Callithrix jacchus: one gene and its partners. The protein of the gene in region 1 interacts with the protein of each later gene in a pairwise test. Links are inferred from orthologs where the notes say so. Each region holds a gene or a part of one and is shown in the gene's direction. Other genes may lie near its edges.

What was found. The genes of interacting proteins can lie anywhere in the genome.
Region 2: the proteins of CCDC102B (region 1) and NIF3L1 interact in binary tests that used the Homo sapiens proteins (3 or more experiments, as listed by UniProt). The two-hybrid records come from large-scale screens. The link is inferred for Callithrix jacchus from reciprocal best matches to the Homo sapiens genes CCDC102B and NIF3L1.
Region 3: the proteins of CCDC102B (region 1) and EHHADH interact in binary tests that used the Homo sapiens proteins (3 or more experiments, as listed by UniProt). The two-hybrid records come from large-scale screens. The link is inferred for Callithrix jacchus from reciprocal best matches to the Homo sapiens genes CCDC102B and EHHADH.
Region 4: the proteins of CCDC102B (region 1) and MAGOHB interact in binary tests that used the Homo sapiens proteins (3 or more experiments, as listed by UniProt). The two-hybrid records come from large-scale screens. The link is inferred for Callithrix jacchus from reciprocal best matches to the Homo sapiens genes CCDC102B and MAGOHB.

The regions. Positions count from the first base shown.
Region 1 is NC_133514.1:111,495,785-111,500,332, forward strand, and holds part of CCDC102B (coiled-coil domain-containing protein 102B), read left to right. Parts: intron 1-579; coding exon 580-800; intron 801-4,548. UniProt on the Homo sapiens protein: During interphase, forms fibers at the proximal ends of centrioles to maintain centrosome cohesion. During mitosis, dissociates from the centrosome following phosphorylation to allow centrosome separation. Contributes to CROCC/rootletin filament formation.
Region 2 is NC_133507.1:121,998,306-122,003,383, forward strand, and holds the start of NIF3L1 (NIF3-like protein 1), read left to right. Parts: upstream 1-1,928; 5' UTR 1,929-2,138; coding exon of another isoform or gene 2,139-2,572; 5' UTR 2,573-2,967; exon of another isoform or gene 2,968-3,129; intron 3,130-4,295; 5' UTR 4,296-4,319; coding exon 4,320-4,755; intron 4,756-5,078. Other genes in the region: PPIL3 (peptidyl-prolyl cis-trans isomerase-like 3), read right to left, coding at 283-307, 1,405-1,435, 1,780-1,928, 2,139-2,572. UniProt on the Homo sapiens protein: May function as a transcriptional corepressor through its interaction with COPS2, negatively regulating the expression of genes involved in neuronal differentiation.
Region 3 is NC_133516.1:14,235,561-14,240,534, reverse strand, and holds the start of EHHADH (peroxisomal bifunctional enzyme), read left to right. Parts: upstream 1-1,824; 5' UTR 1,825-1,851; coding exon 1,852-1,922; intron 1,923-4,974. UniProt on the Homo sapiens protein: Peroxisomal trifunctional enzyme possessing 2-enoyl-CoA hydratase, 3-hydroxyacyl-CoA dehydrogenase, and delta 3, delta 2-enoyl-CoA isomerase activities. Catalyzes two of the four reactions of the long chain fatty acids peroxisomal beta-oxidation pathway.
Region 4 is NC_133510.1:12,487,056-12,492,220, forward strand, and holds the start of MAGOHB (protein mago nashi homolog 2), read left to right. Parts: upstream 1-2,015; 5' UTR 2,016-2,092; coding exon 2,093-2,186; intron 2,187-4,883; coding exon 4,884-4,942; intron 4,943-5,165. UniProt on the Homo sapiens protein: Required for pre-mRNA splicing as component of the spliceosome. Plays a redundant role with MAGOH in the exon junction complex and in the nonsense-mediated decay (NMD) pathway.

The DNA.
Region 1 (4,548 bases):
TAGCATGAGTCCTGTGAAGCTTTTGAGTTACGCACTAAGAATATTGACGCAGTTGCTGCTCTAGTATTGATGTCCGTATCAAGTGTCCCATTAAATTCTATTTGAGATGTGACTCATTAACTAAAATAAAGCAATAAGTGAGCTTATTGAAATATTCAAGAGCTTTCTGAAAATTCTATCGTCTTTCAAAAATGTTACAAAAATAATTACTTTGAAACTATGTCTTTCTTATGACAAAAGAAACTTGAAAAAGAATTCATCAACTCATTAAAAAATTCTTTTCAGCTGTTCAACTTTGTGCATGGTTATTTTTAGCTATGATTAGAAAAAGAAAACAAACAAAGAGGTAAAGCAGACCCTTTTAGAAATGTATTTTATTATAACAAGGAAGAACATAGAAAAGTTTGAAGAAGAACTCAAGTAAGTTCAGCCACGTAACACTTTTAGGTACTGATAATGAAATAAAAATATGGATTTGATGCTGTATTGTAACGTTTATTTCTTTATGAAATTGTATTGTTGTCATGATTTTTCTCCTAAGGGGTTTAAATATCCACCATAATTGTTTTATTTTTTCAGGAAGAAGGAGCGGTTATTGATTCTTTAAAATTAAATGACGAGATGAAACCTAATCTAGATAGTGTTGATTTATTCAAGAATGGTGGCTCTGGAAATGGTGAAATGAAACCTGGGCTGAAACTGAAAGCAATAAATCTGCCTTTGGATAATCAAGTAACTGAAATTTCAGCTTTGCAGGTGCATTTGAATGAGTTCCAAAAAATCTTATGGAAAGAAAGAGAGTAAGTGCTAATCATTCTCTACCTTAACCAAGTCTGTTTCAAACCACTTAAAATTGTTAACACTGATAGATCGATCATTTGTTAATGTATTTTATCCATGTTTAGTCGTTACGTTTTAGTATTTAAATAAATTAGTTTGACATATATTTTGAATTTTGAAAAGTAATCTATAACTTGTTAGTGTTCTTCATTCTTTTAAATTGACTTTTATCATGACTATGTTCTTACCATCTCTGGTAGATTCACTTTAATTTTTTCTGAATTCTTAATGTCCACGGTTAAAATATCCAGTGTATTATTTAATTTTTACAGCATTTGGACTTGGTCAATAAATATGTTAATTTTAATAGTGGAAAAAAATCACAATTTTGTGAGATACTGATTACAGAATAAGCTGTCTTATACATGGACCATTAGGGCTTCAGGCTTGTGATTAATTGGCCTGGATATTCATCTTTGTTCTGATGTATTCTAGCTATGGGACGTTGGCTGTTGCTGCTTTTGTGAAAATAGCTGTAGTGATGTTATGTTCCAGTTTTCTGTTGTCTTGAAACAAACTTTTCCAAACAATGATCATTAAAACATATCAACAATGATCGCTATGTCTTCTGTTCAAGAATCTTGAGCATGGCTTGGCACGGATATCCTTATCTCTGACTTGTGCCTTCAGCTGCAATGGCTCAAAGTCTGGCATGCTTGGAAGGCTGGGGGCTAGAGCCTCTCTCACTCATATCTCTGGCAGTCCATCTTGGTTCTCATCTAGGCCTCAGCTGGGACACCTGCACTGGGGCTATTTATAAGGCTGTTTGGCTTCCTCACAACATCGGGACTAGGTTACAAGTGAACATCTTAAGAACACAGAGAAGAAAACGCCATTTGAATGACTCTGCCTCACAAATCACTTAGCATCACTTCAGACCCACTGATGGGTGGGCATCTCAAAGGCTGACTCAGATTCAAGAGAGAGGCACTTTCAATGGAAGGAGAGTCAAAACGATTTTATAATAAGGGTGTGTAGGATGCAGTCATTGTGGCAAAGATCTCTGAAAAACACAGTCTGTCATAGCCTTTCTCACTGAATTCTCATGAAAATCAAGAAGAAATAATGTCTGGGGAAGAGGCTAGTAATATGAAATGTTCAATATGGATTTTTGTTTCTTTGTGATTAGCTTACAGTTTTATTAGCCCAATGTAGAATATCTAATATATGTTGAAATATGGTTCCAAAACCTAAAAATAATCATTTTTTATCTCTTAGTTATAAAGTCTTAACAAGCAGAACTGGAAAAGCAAGAGAGATATGTATGCACATATACATACAATATATTATATAAATATAAGTATATATTATATAATAATTTTAAATTATCTGGTTTAAATGGACTGAAATAGGGATAATTTTGCGTACTAGCCATTCACAAATACAGTAAGTTCTTTATCTACCACTTATTTTCTGCCAGAAGTTTCTCATTAGTCCCTGTGAAATTTACTAGTGCCACCACTTGCTTTTTTAGATTCTTCTTCTATATTTCACTAGATGAATAGATTGTGATCATATAAGCATCTGTGTACAGAATAAATACTTATTACTCTACTGAGTGTACATTCCTAAGAGAGGCAACCAATATTAGTGGAAAAAAGAATATAATTAAATTGGATTTTTAGCCTAATATATATAGTGACAATTTTATCTAGACCTATACATGTCAGTCACGTTCTAAACTCTGTGCTTTTATTTCTTGAAGGATTTAACTTTTTGGAAATTACAGACTTCTCTCCAGCCCACTCACAATATTACTTCCCTGATGCAGTCTGATAGGAACAATGTAGAGCTGTGTTTTTCTAGATGTAAACTTTTCTATTCTAAGGTGTCAATTTTAAAGATATGCACGTGTTGTCTTGACACGTTTATCCACATACATGCACACAACATATACTTTTTCCTGTTATGGAATGAATGAACAATTCTCAGGGGAAGTAAATTCTCCAGTTCTCAGTGACTTCAGTCTATAATCTATAGACAGGTCAAAGAATAAGAGAAAAAAGGAGACTTTCCATGGCCTTGTCTTCCCACGCTCCTCTTTAAGAAACAATCCCACGGACATTATGAGTCATGGTGCCTGTGTCCATGAATCAACATTTGCATGCAATCCACATGAGGCAATCACAGTCTATTTTTTTTTTCTATCACAAGAGAACGTTTTCCAAGAATAGAGAATATGCTATTACTTATAAATCCATCTAATCTTTTAAATTCTTTGTCCTGGAATCTCAGTGAGTGGGTGGCTTGAATTGAGAAGATGTGAATGTATTTTTTTCCTGCATTCCTATCTAGTGGGAAAATTCTCTTGACTAGTGCACAGAAATCAGCTCAGAAATTCAGAGAGTCATTTTTCCATTGTCCTTGACTAGAACCTCCTATTCAAATAGATGAAAGTTTATTGATTTATTTGCACTCTGAGTACGGTTCAGTTTTATGAATAATTCTCCAGTATATAAAATTTCTCGTATACTGAGACTTTATATATTTCTGTTGACTTTCATAAAGACTTCCCAGGTAGAAAACTTGGAGTAAGACCAGGAAACCTGATCCTATTATACAGCTGTGTGTACCTAGACATTTAAGAAAAGGAGCTTTGGCAATACCAAATCTCAAGTAACAGAGACTTAGATAAAATATTTTGAACTGTCTTAACATTCAAAATCAGTTTTCAAATTCCACTGCAGATACCTCCTTTATCACTTATAAAATGTTTGCTCTGTGTCTTTTAAGCTGAGCTTCAGGCTGGAGTGCAGTGGTGCAATCTCTACTCATTGCAACCTCAGCCTCCTGGACTCAAGCCATTCTCTCACCTGAGCCTCCCTAGTAGCTGGAATTACAGGCTGTGCCACCATGCCTGGCTAATTTTTTTTTTTTTTCAACTTTCAGTAGAGATGGGGTTTTGCCATATTGCCCATGCTGGTCTCAAACTCTTGGCCTCAAATGATTTACCTGCCTTGGTCTCCCAAAGTTCTGGGGTTACAGGGGTGAGCCACTGTGCCCAGCCCATTTTATTTTCTTAATTAATTTTTTATGTAAGAAAAGTATTATGCTTCAATTGTTTTGCTTTGCTTCATTAAATGTTCAATTTTTTCTTAATAATATGATATTTAAAATCCAGGTTAGAAGTTTCAGCAAATTAAAAATGTTTCAAAGGTTATTTTTTATATATGTATGAGAGAGATAGATTTCTACTTTATATATATAAAGTAGATATATATCTCAATTAATGAATACATTCATTAATATATATGTTATACATAATTATATATTTATATATAATGAATATATAACTCTCAATGAATAAATTGGCATGTAAATCTGGTTAATACTCTTTAATGTAATATTTATAAATATTAGAAAGTCAAGCTTACTTTGTTTCCTTATTAACTGTCCACTTAAGGAATATTCAATAAAGCTTTACCATTTTTTACCTCTCAGCATCTATTTTGTGTTTTGGCAATTTGCTACCAAATGAAACAGAGTCTATATCTGTGCATAGATAATGAAAATGCCAGGAAGCCTCTACCACGGTTTCCTTTGCAGTGAAGGTACAGACAGTTGACTTAGGAATAGTGCATCAGAGGTGGCCACCTAGACTTTTAAGCAAAGCCAATACCCCAAGGCAGTAGACAGCATCCAGAATTCATGCATGAGGGGGAAGCAGCAGCAATAAGGACAACTTGTTTCCAGAGGCAGCGGTGGCCT
Region 2 (5,078 bases), on another chromosome or scaffold:
CGTTGCACTCCAGCCTGGGTAACGAGCGAAACTCCGTCTCAAAAAAAAAAAAAAAAGAATTTTAAAGTAACTTTGTGTATTTTTAAAAGAAATATTTCATATTAAATGCTTCTATAGCGTACAATTTCTCCATCTTCTCACTGCAATTCCCATGCAGTTTTATTGCCCTTGACTGAATTTCTAAAAATTACTTATAATGAAAGACATTTCATAAGAATTGGTCAAAACTTACCATTTTTCCTCTTAGTGGTTTCAGGAAAGACTACGTAATTTCTCAGAGTCTTACAGCGGGGTCAAAAGTAAGTCTCTAGTCCCAAAAGAAAAAAAGAATTAGGCTCATATTTCTATCTTCCTAATTCACACACACTCACCTTTACTGCACATTTTAAATAAAAATCCTCGCCCAGAATGGTGGCTCACGCCTGTAATCCCAGCAATTTGGGAGGCCAAGGCGGGTGGATCGCCTGAGGTCAGGAGTTCAAGACCAGCCTGGCCAACACGGCGAAATCCTGTCTCTATTAAAAACACAAAAATTAGCGGGGCGTGATGGCACTTCTCTATAGTCTCAGCTACTCTGGAGGCTGAGGCAGGAGAATCGCTTGAACCCCGGAGGCGGTGGTTGCAGTGAGGCGAGATCCCGCCACTGCCAACCTGGGTGACAGAGACAGACTCCGTCTCAACAAAAAAAAATTCTTCTAATGGCATCCCCTATGTAATAAAAACCCAGCTATAGAGTAATGATAAGAGACCCTACCCGATTCAAGCCTCCCAATCTCCGACTTGCCCTGCTTGCTCTTCTTCAAGAGCCTCCTTGCAAGTCCCCCAGTAAGCCAGATACCTTCCCTTAGGGGCTAGGCACTGGGTGTCCCTTTTGCCTGGAATGCTTATTACACTCAAGACATCTCTACAGCTAATTTCCTCACCTCCAAATTTCTGCTTAAATGTCAAGTTTAACTGACCTGACAACCCTACATAAAACTGCTTGAGACCGAGGACATTCCTATTTCCTTCTCCCACAGCACTTACTACTAATATACTATTAACTTCTCTCCCTTTATTTTTGAGACGGAACCTCGCTCCGTCGCCAGGCTGGCGTGTAGTGGCGTGATCTCGGATCACTGCAACCTCCGCCTCCCGGGTTCAAGTGATTGTCTTGCCTCAGCCTCCCGAGTAGGTGTTATTACAGGCACGCGCCACAGGGGTTCCACCCGGCTCGGCCTTCCAAAGTGCTGGGATTACTAGCGTGAGCCACCGTACCCGGCCCTTCTCTTATTCTCACGTTGCAACAACAGCCTCGTTGCCCACTGTTCACTCGCAGTATCCCAAGAACTAAACCAGTAGCAACACAGAGCTCAGCAAGTATTCGAATAAGTGAATGAAAGAATTAATGACGTTGCTCCATACTTGGGCTTCACCACTTCGTTTAGCACAGCCGCTGTTAAAAGAGGAAAAATGCAATCGCACAAGCCAGCAGAGTTCTGTTGGTTCAAAATTATAGTTTCTATAGGCCAGCGGAAGTTGGGCGCGGGAACCAAGAGAGAGAACGCCCCTTACCGCCTCATCTCTCTCCTCCCCACTCCTTCCTCTCTCAAACCAAAACGACACTGTAATTTATCCCCCACCGGAAATTTGACAGTGAAAGGGAGCTCTTAATAATTCCACTGGGACAAGAAGCGTAAGGCAAAACTATCCGGGTAACCTCAGGCAATGTTTTACACTCGGTTGCCGAACTGAAAGGACCACTTCCGCCCAGCTTTCCAGCTACTGGGAACCCATTACCACAGCGCCACGAGCGCCGACGCAGGACCGGAAGTGACGTAAGAAGTTCCCGGGACTGGTGAGTTGTGCGCGATTTAAAAACCCGCGAGTGTAGTTGTGACCTTCGCGGAAGGTTCAGGTTAGGGCAGGCTGTGATTGTTATGTTGATGCTGCAGAGGCAAGCAGAAGAGATTGGGTCAGAAAACTACCCCGCCACGAGACAGCACTGTGTACTGGGGGTCCTTACTCATACTTACTGGCTGTTTTCACTGTCCTGGAAAAGACATGAAATGAGGCAAAATTAGGTAAGGTAGAGGGAGCGATTTGCAGGCTGCAAAGGGGCCCTGCTGATGCTACTTAATAGCAAAAACAGTGCTTACCTTAGTACGAGAGCTGTTTCCAGCTTTACGTGTGAATCTCGCGATATTGTGGCCGTGGCACTATTTGCTGCCCCAGAGGAAACTGCAGATGATAACTCATTTGCCTGTTGTTGCACAACTGTGACTCTGACTTCAGAGTCCCTCCCACCATACTGTGCTGCCTCCTGTTGTCGTTGTTGACAGTGGCCATGGAGCCTCTCAGTTTCCTCATCTGTAACAGTAAATAACTCAAAACCTGCATGGCGGCCCGCAAGGGTTTCACTTTCGAGCTTGCCAGATGTAGAAGAGGCTGGAGAACGGAGTACTGTGAGGATCATTAGAATATCTTCCAAGGCCGGACGCAGTGGCTCATGCCTGTAATCCCAGCACTCTGGGAGGCCGAGGCAAGGTGGATCGCTTGAGTGCAGGAGTTTGAGACCAGCCTTGGGCAACATGGCAAGATCCCATCTCTACTAAAAATACAAAAATTAGCCAGGTGTGGTGTTCTGCGCCTATAGTCCTAGTTACTCAGGAGGCTGAGGTGGGAGGATCTGTTTGAGGCCAGGAAGTCGAGGCTCCGGTGACCTGAAACCCGCACCGCTGCACTCCAGCCTAGGTGACGAGTGAATCCCTGTCTCAAAATGAAAAAAACAAAAACTTTCAAGACCTTGAGTGGTTTTTGGAGACCCTGTATTACTTCAAATAATGCATTAAATAAACATCCCCATCTCATTAAATAGAAATGTTGAAAAATTGGGCCGGGCGTGGTAGCTCACGCCTATAATCCCAGCACTTTGGGAGGCCGGGTGGATGACGAGGTCAAGAGATCAAGACCATCCTGGTCAACAAGGTGAAACCCTGTCTCTACTAAAAATACAAAAAAAAATTAGCTGGGCATGGTGGTGCACGCCTGTAGTCCCAGCTACGCGGGAGGCTGAGGGAGGAGAATTGCTTGAACCCAGAAGGCGGAGGTTGCGGTGAGCCGAGATCATGCCATTGCACTCCAGTCTAGGTAACAGCAGCAAAACTCCGTCTCAAAAAAAAAAAAAGAAAAATTGCTTGTGGAATAATTGGCTTATGGATATTTCATCAAATTTGCAATTGACTATGCTTTTCTTCAAAAAGTGTTTATAGGTAGTAAGTTTAAGAATGGGGTTGACAGCATTATCTTTTGTAGTTATTTGATTAAACATTTACTAATTGTGCATATTTTGGAGCCAGCAATTTTTTTCTGTCTCTCCGTTGCCCTCCCACCTTCCCTTTGTTGCCAGCCTTTTCAGTTCCTTGTTGGATGTAGATATTTAGAAGGCTTACAGGCTGTGTGGGGAAAGTGCTCTATATCTTACCCCCTCCCACCTCTTGAGCCTGGCCTTCGTGTAGCAAATGTTGCTTAACGGGCAGTGGCTTCTCCCTTCTCCTGCCTTGACCCTGCCCATTTGTAGAGTGACCTCCCTATGTATGCCTTGATTCTTAATGCTGATAAAGCACTTGAAATTTTAAACATTATTCTGGTTTTTGATAAAGTGTGTTGTAATGCCAGTATATGCCACCCAACTCCAAATTCTGTTGTAATCGGGAGTCGGGAGGTAGGCAAGGTCATTCTATGCAGTTAGCATTTAGTGCTGGCTTATATATTGGTTATACCGAGATTTATTAAAGATAGTTCCTGTTCCCTAGTAGCTTCAGCATAATGGAGCACACACGCAATTCTGAGAACACTGAGGGGTGGGGAGCCTTAGGAAAGATGCTGAAAAGGAAGGTTTGTCAAGAAAAGTTTTATTTAAGAAGTTGAAGGGGGCTTGGGAAAAGGGAAGGTAATATTTAGAGAAATGGATTAGGGAGAAGGTTGGTTGAAGCAAGAGTGGGAAGAATGAGAACAAGGTGTGTGAGACAGGAGACGGGATGGACATTTGTGTATTATATACCAGGCTCTGCTGGGTTATGTAATTCATTTGGTCCTCTAGATGGCCTGTGAGGTGGGTTATAGTATCTCCATTTCCTAGGCGAGAAAACAAGAGAGGTTAAATGGCTTACCTAAGCTACAGTGTGCTGGTAAGTGGCAGAGCCACTATTTGAACCCAGATCTCTATGATGACAACTCTTGTCCATATGATTTGATGCCTCAAAGATCCAGGCCTAAAGTGTACATGTGTACCATTTTCTTTGTTTTGACTTCAGAAACGACTTTTACCTGATTTCTGTATGTTGTCATCTTGTGTACGCCCGGTCCCCACGACAGTCCGGTTTATAGATTCCCTGATCTGCAATTCTTCCCGTTCCTTCATGGATTTGAAGGCTCTCCTTTCTTCCTTGAATGACTTTGCATCCCTCTCCTTTGCTGAGAGTTGGGACAATGTTGGATTACTGGTGGAACCAAGCCCACCACATACTGTAAATACCCTCTTCCTGACGAATGACCTGACTGAGGAAGTGATGGAGGAGGTGCTGCAGAGGAAGGCAGACCTCATTCTCTCCTACCATCCACCTATCTTCCGACCCATGAAACGCATAACGTGGAACACCTGGAAGGAGCGCCTGGTGATCCGGGCTCTGGAGAACAGAGTGGCTATCTACTCTCCTCACACAGCCTATGATGCTGCACCCCAGGGAGTCAACAACTGGTTGGCTAAAGGGCTTGGTGAGAAGCCGCTTTCATATTTGTTATTTTACCTACAAATACTTTGAAACTTTCGAATGTCTTTCCAGTAAAGTTTTGACTGCTTTCGGGGTGGGAAGGGTATCATTCCATTTTTATATCATTTTAAAATAATTTTGCTGAAATTTGGCAGTTAAATTGCATTTGAAAAGAGAAACATTTTTTATCTTTATGGAATGAGAGCAGAAGTCTTCCTTACTGGACTGAGCTTCGTGATTCCTCATTTTTGTGGCACAATGCCTGTCACCTAGGCACTTGAAAAATGCTTGTTGAATTGAAAGCTCAGGTCTCTCCAGAATACACTT
Region 3 (4,974 bases), on another chromosome or scaffold:
TTAGTTACATGGGAAGCATTATCAAAATAAAAAATAATATGTAATCATCTTCAGCTTATATTTTAGTGAATGATATTAATATGTGTTCCAAAATTGTAGGGGATTTTGGTCAAAATGGCGAGAACCTGGACACCCTCCACCAGTAACAGTTTCACTAGTTGTGTGTTATTGTAAGACAAATAAAAGTGAGGTTGAGAAAGGAGAACAGGGCTTGGAACCAGGGAACCTAAGGAACTTCTTAGAACTAAATCAAATGGAAACACTTCAGCTATGACAGGAAATATCCTCTTCACTCACATAGGATGTACACTGAGTAAATGACTTTGTAATTTTACTTCATCCTCTTCATTTACGTAGGGCATACACCCAGTAACCAATGGGAAACCCCTAGAGGGTATTGAAACCCCAGAAAATTCTGTAACAAGGGCCCTTGAGCCCCTTTCTCAGGCCCACTCCCACCCTGTAAAGTGTCTTTTCATTTTCAGTAAATCTCTGCTTCTGTTGCTTTGTTCTTTCCTGGCTTTGTTTGTGTGTTCCATCCAGTTCTTTGTTCAAAATGTCAAAAACCTGGCCAACTTGCAGTCCAGACCCTTCTCCAGTACACGACATTATGTAAGTATTTGGTTGATGTTAGTGTGATCACTGGATAGGTTCTTCCTGCCTGCTTCACAAATAAAATCAATTCGAGGAGACCTCGGCATTGCAGTGAAGAAAGAGTTTAATTGATGTGAGGCTGGCCAGGCCATGTGGGAGATGGAGTTATTACTCAAATCAGTCTCATCCAAGGCTAGTAGCTTAGGGGTTTTTCAAAGGCAGTTTGGTGGGCAGGAGCTAGGTTATGGGAAGTGCTGACTGGCTGGGTTGGAGACGAACTCCTAGGGGGTCAAAGGAAGCTGCCTCTTGTACTGACTTGTGTGTGGGCAGGGCCACAGGAGCAGTTGACTGGTCCAGGAGGAGCCATCAGTGTCAGGCATGCAAAAAATCTGAAACGATATCTCAAAGGGCCAAACTTAGGTTCTACAATAGTAATGTTATCTGCAGGAGTAAATGGGGAAGTTGTCTATCTGGTGGCCTCCGGAATAATGGCTGGCAATGGTCTATGTCTACACCTTAACAAACAGAAGTCAGGCTCTGCTATCCTCCTAGCCTGGTGGTCTCTCATTTAGCTTTACAAAGGCAGTTGAGTTTTGGGAAAGGGCCATTATCATTTAAACTATAAACTAAGTGTCTCCCAAAGTTAACTTAGCCCAAGCTCAGGAATAATTAAGGGTAGCTAAAGGCAAGATAGGGGTTGGTTAAATCAGATCTCTCCCACTGTCATAATTTTCTCACTGTTAGAATTTTTGCGAAGTCTGTTTCATCAGTACCCTACTCATTTAGGTGAAATAAACAATGGGTATTTTATGTGTTCCGATGAGTATCAGTATCACATAACTGTCAGGGCCCCAGGTATCTGTCCCTGTTCAGAAGGATCATGAAGATGAATACTGCGATGCGGACAGCTTGCCCGACTCAGTGAACTCAGAACTTGTCCTCAGTAGCCGGCTCCTGTGGGCCAGGGATTGCAAACTTCGACTTGCCGGCAGTGACACCTGTTTTCCATCATTCTCCTTGCGGTACTTTGTAGCAGGAGCAGCGTGGGAGTCAACAAAGAGAAAGCACAAGCGTCTGTGGAGCGCGGGGTGGAGTCTCGGGAGAGGAGGACCTGGGTGGGAAGAGGCGCGGCAGGAGGCGGTGCCCCGGCTCGCATTGGCTAAGCCCGCGTCCCTCCCCTCGGGGCTGCTGGCGCGCCCGGAAAAGTGGCTTCGCCTGAAGGCGAGAGGCAGAGGTACCCTCGGTGACAGAGGAAACATGGCCGAGTATACGCGGCACAACGCCTTGGCGCTGATCCGCTTCCGAAACCCGCCGGTCAACGTGATCAGGTAACCGGCTCCGTCGCCTCCAGCCCTGGGACCGTGGGGGCCTTATCCGCCCGCGGCTCTGGAGGCTTTGACTGTCCCCGGCTGGTTTAAACGGAGAAAGACACTGACAGTTGAGCAACTGGTATATGCCAGGAGCCTGCCTGCTTTCCCTCCTTCCTTCCTTCCCTCCCTCCCTCTCTCCTTTCTTTCTCTCTCTCCTTACTTCCCTCCTTTCCTCCCCGCCTCCCTCCCTCCTTCCTTCCCTCGCTCCCTCTCTCACTTTCTCTTTCCTTCCTTCTTTCCCTCCTTCCCTCCCTCTTTCTCTCATCTCTCTCTCTCTCCCCTTCCTTCCTTCCCTCCCTCCTTCCCTCCTTGCTTCCTTCCTTCCTTCTTTCCTTCACTCCCTCTCTTCTTTCTTTCTCTCTCTCCTTCCTTCCCTCCCTCTTTCTCTCCTTTCTCTCTCTCTCTCTTTCTTTCCTTCTCCTAGATTAGCTTGGTTAATCTTTGCAGAGAACTCTCGTCCCCATTTTCCTGGTAAGGAAACAGAGGCTGAGACACATGCTAACTTAGGGAGCTGGCGTTGCCCTGTCCGTCCTGGGAACCCTTCTGCTTACTTGCAGCTTTGGCGTCTCTAATGCAAAGGTCTTAACTTAGTTGCATTTTGGACTTTGATCCAGCCTCACTCCCCAACTTTGAGTCCAGGCTGCCCTTACCATGTTTGGCTAAAAGCTTTAGGAATTGGGCAATAAAATGTTTTAACATTAAAAAAAAAAAATGAAGTCCCACTAATGCCAAGGTAGTGATTAAAGCAGAATTGTGCCCTGACTCACAAACGCAAAATTATTTCTCCTGATTTGTTTAAACCTCAAGACTGGTGCTTCCGAGGAAGACTCACATCCAACTAAGCCTGTGTACCAGCAGTTTCTGAAAAACTGCACCTTGTCTTCTTTTTCTCACTGGGGAGTACTTGCCGTGTGTACTGCACTTAAAACATTACTTTAAAAAGTGAGATCAGCCTGGCATGGTGGCTCATGCCTGTAATCCTTGCACTTTGGGAGGCTGAGGCGGGTGGATCACCTAAGGTCAGTAGTCCGAGACCAGCCTGGCCAACATGGTGAAACATCATCTTCACTAAAGATACAAAAATTAGCTGGATGTGGCGGTGCATGCCTATGGTCCCAGCTACTTGGGGCTGGGACTATAGGCTGAAGCAGGAGAATAGCTTGAACCCAGGAAGCAGAGGTTGCAGTGAGCAGAGATCCTGCGCTAATGCACTCTAGCGTGGGCGACAAAAGTGAGACTCCGCCTCAAAAAAAAAAGTGAGATCAGTGTTGTCGTTTTGAATAGTAATGAATTTATTTGGTCCTTCTGCATCTCTTTAAAAAAGTAGTTATACATCAGCCTTGAAAAAAGAATTACCTATCTACAGGGAATAGGATTAGTGGAAATTATAATTTACCAAGAATATATATGGCATAGAGAGAAATGTCTTTGGTCAAAATTCTTATGTGCTGTTGGAGCAAAAAGATTGAAATGAGAAGATCTGCTGATTTTAATAGAATTTAAAAATCTTACTGTCATCAGATTTATCATTAGAATTTTTATTTCGGTATGATTTATTGCATTTAGTAATATGCCAAAAAAATGCAGCACTAAAATCACATAAGGATGACATGTCTACTAACTTGGCATTCCCAGAATAAAAAGCAAAATATCTGTTATGTTGATTTTAACAAAGAAAAATGTAAGTAATATGATTACATGTCCATTTTGGACTGGTCTGTATACTGATTAGAATTGCTAGATGTTAGGACCTTAGGGGGAAAGTTCCATCCTCTAACACCCATGACTAGGCATATTTTCTGGCAACTGTTTTAAATGCTTCTGGAATTTAACCTGTTCTCCCTGCCCACCCATGCCACCACCTGTGCCACCCCCATCCCTTTTTGCAGGAGAAATGTTAGTGTCTACCTCATAAAGTTATAAAGTTTAAATCAGCTGGAAATTGTAAACTGGCATTTAATGGATGTCAGCTATCATTCGTATTAGTCAGAAGACCTATTCAAGCCCTTACCAACAGGCCTTGCTACCCAGGCTCCACTTCAGTTTCATCAGGAAGATTTTCTCCATTTGGAAATAAGGACTTCTCTGCCCTTTTTCATCTGTTTTTTGAACTTTTTTTTAAAGTGGAAATGTACATCCTTGCAGTTCCTCAAGTTTAACAGATTCCTCAATTTTTTTATTTCACTTTTCTTTCCTTCCTCCCTTGCTTCCTTTCTCCTTCCTATTTCTAATTCTATATGGGAAGTCATCTCTTCCCAGCTCATTGAGAGATTCTTACTTGAGTATACACACATACACACACACAAACACACAAACATGTATATACATATATAAATTTTTCCCCCTGAAAAAATAGTTTAAATCCTTCATTGCTAGTTTAGCCAGCCATGTTTGCTTCCATTCAGATAAACACCAGCCCTCTTTATACATGTAGGACATGCCTGATTAATAGGCTGTCTCCCAGGACAGTGGCTTTCACACTTTTGCTTTAAGCTTATGTTTTTACATAGCAATTCAAGACACACTTACATACAAACGCGTAACAGAAAACAAAGTTTCCTAAAACAAAACCTATCCTTACATGGTATATTGTTTGATATATTCTATTTTCTTTTCTCTTTCTTTTTTTTTTTTTTTTGAGATAGAGTCTTGCTCTGTCGCCAGGCTGGAGTGCAGTGATGCAGTCTTGGCATGCTGCAACCTCCACCTCCTGGGTTCAAGCGATTCTCCTGCCTCAGCCTCCTGAGTAGCTGGGATTACAGGTGCCCACCACCATGCCCAGCTAATTGTTTTGTTTTTTTTTTTTGAGACAGAGTTTCACTCTTTTACCCAGGCTGGAGTGCAGTGGGGCAATCTCAGCTCACTGCAACCGCCGCCTTCAGGTTTTCAAGCAATTCTCTTGCCTCAGCCTCCCAAGTAGCTGAGACTAAAGGCACGCACCACCACACCCAGTGTTTTTTTTTTTTTTTAATTTTAGTAGAGATGGGGTTTCACCATGTTGGCCAGGATA
Region 4 (5,165 bases), on another chromosome or scaffold:
AGTCCTGGTCAAACTGGAACAGCTTGTCACCCTAGTGAGAAAGCATAGTGCTTCCTGTTTCTTATGTATTTTCCAAAATGGTGACCTATTGTAGGGATTGATTCACTTTTCTATATTAATAGTTATATAACTTCTAATATGGACTCAAGGTAACTTGGCCCAATCTGCCTTTTTAGTCATTCTACTTGAACCCTCTGCTCTAGCTATACCAAATTTCTTGGCTTTCCCAAAACATGCATTTTCACACCACTGTCTTTGCTCAGTTCATTCTCTGCTGGGAATGCTTGTTCATACCACTAAACATACACAGAACTTACTTCTCAAGGTCCAATTCAAATACCTCTGTTGACAAGCTTTCTCTTTTTTCAAATTTCCCTACTCTGCAATAGAATGCATTTGCTTCCTCTGCTGTATTAGCAGCATGCTTTATATATATTCCTTTTATTTTATTTTATTTTATTTCGAGACGAAGTTTCACTCTTGTCACCCAGGCTGGAGTACAATGGCACGATCTCGGCGCACTGCAACCTCCGATTCCTGAATTGAAGTGATTATCCTGCCTCAGCCTCCTGAGTAACTAGGATTACAAGTATGTGCCACTACACCAGCTAATTTTTGTATTTTTAGTAGAGACAGGGTTTCTGGACTTGAACACCTGACCTTGGGTGATTAGCCTGCCTTGGCTTCCCAAAGTGCTGGGATTATAGGCATGAGTCAACATGCCTGGCTATGTATATTCTTAATTATCTTAAATATATTAAGAGCAATTAGCAATTGCTCCCTTGTGCTGATATTTGCCTTACATATTTGCTTTCTTTTCTAGACTACCAGTGCAAATGGCTCATTTCTAGTTTCAAACTTTTTGTCACATAGGAAATGTTTGTTAAAAGCTGTTTTATAAAATTTAAAGCTTATTTTACATATTATTCTCATTTGATCTCTCAAGAATTCTGTGAATTTGACAAAGTAGATTGCTCTATATGCATAAGACTGATGAACAAACAGGCTTAGAGATAGTGACCTGCCCAAGGTTAGGAAGCTGTAAGTGTTGGGATTGAATCCCAGGTCTTCTCATTACTTTTTACTAAATTCCATTGAAGGTTATCAACCGACAGACAGGATTACTCTGTGTGTTGGTAACAAAAGGGTGATCAATCATATTTGAAAAACAGACTTTAGTCTTTTCCTTTCCTTCAAACCCACCCCACAATGGAGCATTCTTTCATGCCTCCAATTTAATTCCACCTGGCGAGAAACGTGGGCTAAATATCCTTATTATATCTTAAATCAAATTGCCAAAACTCCACAGGCTACTAAAAGTTAACCCTTACTGAATGCATGAAAAACCTTAGAAGTTCTGCTGTTAAAAGCACGGTGACTGTCAGGATTTTTCAGTGTGTGTGTGTTTTAAGACTTCAGCTCTTCCGTATGATGGATTCCTTTGACTTTGTCTCTATTATTATAGACTTGTAGCTGTTATAACTGTCAGGGTTTTTCAGTGTGTACCAGCGTGTCTGTGTGTCTAAGACTTTCAGCTCTTTCGTGTGATAGATTTCTTGGACTTTGTCTCTATTATTATAGGCTTATAGTCCAGGTAACTACCAAGCATTATCCAAAGGGGAAAGCACCCTGTTAGAAACCAAGAAAAACGGTTTATACTCCCAGTCTGCTATTTCGATTCTAAGCTTTATCTTTATTTAGCTCACAGTTAGAGGCGCATGAAGCCACACCCACCTCACAGATGCCAGACTGGGAGACCAGAAAAGTAAGAGCGACTTGCAAACCTTAGCTCTAAATCCATAAAAAAGACTATCATATGCTCAGATTTCTAGTTTTTGCTAATATACTATAATCCTTATTTTGAAAATAGTGTGCTTCCAATCCTCTTAAAGCGTAAGTCACGTCGCTGCGACCCTCCCTTCGGTGACTCCGGCCTCTCAAGCGACACTCGGCCTTCCAGCTTTTCGGCAGGGCTGCACCGAACGAGGAAAAGCGGCGCCTGTGGTGACGCACGTATTCCGCGCAATGACGTCACTGCCAGGCGCCGGGCGATACCTTGTGTCTGTTTTCGGCGGGCTTAGCAGGGACAAAAATGTCTATGGCTAGCGATTTCTATCTGCGCTACTACGTAGGGCACAAGGGCAAGTTTGGGCACGAGTTTCTGGAGTTCGAATTTCGGCCGGACGGTGAGAAGAGGCCCACGGCACGCGGTGCTAGGAAAGGGGAGCGAGACCTAGAGTCCGTGGAGAAGGCGAGGGGAGGCCGGGTGGTGTGGGGTGAGCCGAGCTTCTGTAGGCTTGAGAGTGTGCAGGGGGCGGAGGCCACTGCTTTCCCCGAAGGAAATAGGAGCTTAAGAATATAGGAGGCCCAAGTTGGTTTTATAAAGTAAAGAGAATTGCTATAAATTAAAGCTAATCCTGTCACAAACTGAAAAGTTGAACCTACAGTAATTATAATTTTTTAACAGTGCATCTGAAGGGACTTGAAAGGTTCTGGAGATGGTCGCCATAATTAAAAATGCTAGCATCTTTTTGAAAACACCCCCACCATTGGTGGTCCAATAGATGAATAAAATCTTGCAACCAGTACATTTTGTTCGTTCAGGCTGTGTGTGTTATTTGAAGGGGAGGAGCTCGACGTGTTAACAAATGAGAATAATAATATGTTTTAGGTGCTTAAGTATAATTGTTCACCACAGCATGTATATAGAGTATCAAAAAAGAGGAGAGAGGCAAAGTTCCACAGGAGGGAATCAGGAAAATCTTCCTAGATGACGACACTACTGAGATGAGTCTGGAAATGAGAGACTTGGCCTTTGAGAGAGAAAAAAACCAGACTTCCAGAGCAGAATGAGCCGAGGACCAGGTGAAACTGCTACCCATGTAGTGTGCAACAATTTGTGTTTTCTGACAGCACTATCCTTAGAGAATGTTACATTGATCTTGCCTACCTCCAACAAGAAAGTTCATTTGGAAACATATTTTTTGGGTTTTTTTGAATGCACATTTTGTGCTGGGCAACAAGCAAATACAAAATTTGAAGATACAATAGTAAGACTTAAATTTAACTCAAAGAGATTGGTCTTGGTGGGAGACACAGACGTTTAACTATAAGGCAATATGCATATTAAGTCCTATAAGCATGTTTTGGACAATGTTCTGTGAGAGCAAGAATAGAAAATTACAGGAGGAGTGTATATTAGGAAAAGAGGAGAGTACCAAGCACTTCAGACGGAACTCACGTTAACTACAGTCCTGCAGTTATTATTTTTTTTGAGACAGGGTCTCACTGTGTCACTCCGATCTGAGTGCAGTGGCACAGTCTCAGCTCGCTACAACCTCTGCCTCTCGGGCGCAAGTGATCCTCCCACTTCAGCCTCCCGAGTTGCTGGGAGTAAGGCCCGTGACACCTCTCCTGACTCATTTTTCTTTTCGGTAGAGACAGGTTTTCCCATGTTGCCCAGGCTGGCCTCAAATTCTCGAGGTCAAGTGATTCAGCTGCCCGAAGTCCTGGGATTACACGGATGAGCCACTGCACCCAGCCAGCCCTGCAGTTATTTAGAAACCTTAATCGCTGTATTCAACCTTACTCTCTCCATAAATTCAGCTAAATTTACCTGAATTGATCTTTCTTTAATATTATTTTCAGTTCCTCTGCCTGTGAACAACATCATGCTTATCCCTATCCCTTTTAGCAGGTCACATAAATTAAGTACCTGAATATTATCAGGGAAATTGTATGGTAGAACAATGGTTCTAATCAATGTAGCTGCCACCGCGCCATTCCACATACCTCCATTGGTAATAGTGAGTCCTGAAGACTGGCATCTTTTTTCTTTTTCTTTTCTTTTTTTCTTTTTTGAGACTGGAATCTTGCTCTGTCGCCCAGGCTGGAGTGCAATGGTGTGATCCTGGTTCACTGCAACCTCGGCCTCCTGGGTTCAAGGGATTCTCCTGCCTCAGCCTCCTGAGTAGCTGGGATTGTGGGCATGCGCCACCACATCCAGCTAATTTTTCACCATGTTGGCCAGGCTCGTCTTGAACTGCTGACATCAGGTGATTCACCCACCTCAGCCTCCCAAAGTGCTGGGATTACAGGCATGAGCCACTGTCCCTGGCCATCAAAGACTGGCATTTCCATCATTTTAGAGTATCTGCAGTACATTGTACCTGTGTCTGGGCAACTGACTGGCCATAAGGGGAAGTATACATCAGAGAATACAAAAATCGTGATGGATTAAAATTAAATATAAACCAGCCAACAAACTCACCAACTTTGACCCAGAAGCATTGTTTGTATGCTTCTTAGTCATAATTCTAAAATGTCTGCATTATCATAATTGTATGCATACACTGGAAGGAAAGAAATTAAAACATTTTGTGTAGTGGAGAAAGCATGAGTATTGAAAGAAAGTAGATTTAGAGCTGAATCTTGTGTGACCCTGGTTAAGTTACTTTGTTTTCTCTCCTATGAATACGTGAGATAATAAAACTTGTTTTTTAGGGTTGTTTTAAAGATTAAATGCTCTGGGTAAGACACTTAGCACCAATACGGACATATAACAAACTTGAAAGGAATGTTAGTGCCTTTTGCAGATTCTCTTTCTAGTTCATGATGTAGCTTAAGAAAACAGGCCTTAAAAATGACCCAATATATAGTATAGGCATGGGCTATTTAAATATTTGGCCACCTTCAACTTCAGCAAACTTAACCAGCAAATATTTATTGTCTACATTTCTGCATCTTACACAAGGAGGGAGGAAATACTAATAAAAGTAGTAGTATCAAATGGTTTTTGCCTTCATAATTGTATACAATGTCATTAATTTTTTTTTGGCAGTTTTTGCTATTATAAATTGATTTTTTTTCTCCACTTCTCACAGGAAAGCTTAGATATGCCAACAACAGCAATTACAAAAATGACGTAATGATCAGAAAAGAGGTAAGTTATATTCAAATGTCTTTTAGCCCATTTTCTTCAAGTGTGTGTTGAATTTACAAAAATACATCTAAGTTTCCATTGTAAATAAGAAGCCAATTTATAGATAGAAAGGCATTTCTGTTTCAAATAGATACAATTGTTGCATCCATAGTGATGAGAAAGTTCAGAGAACTAACTGTGATGTGAACTATACTTGCATTTATCTATTTATTTATTTTTATTT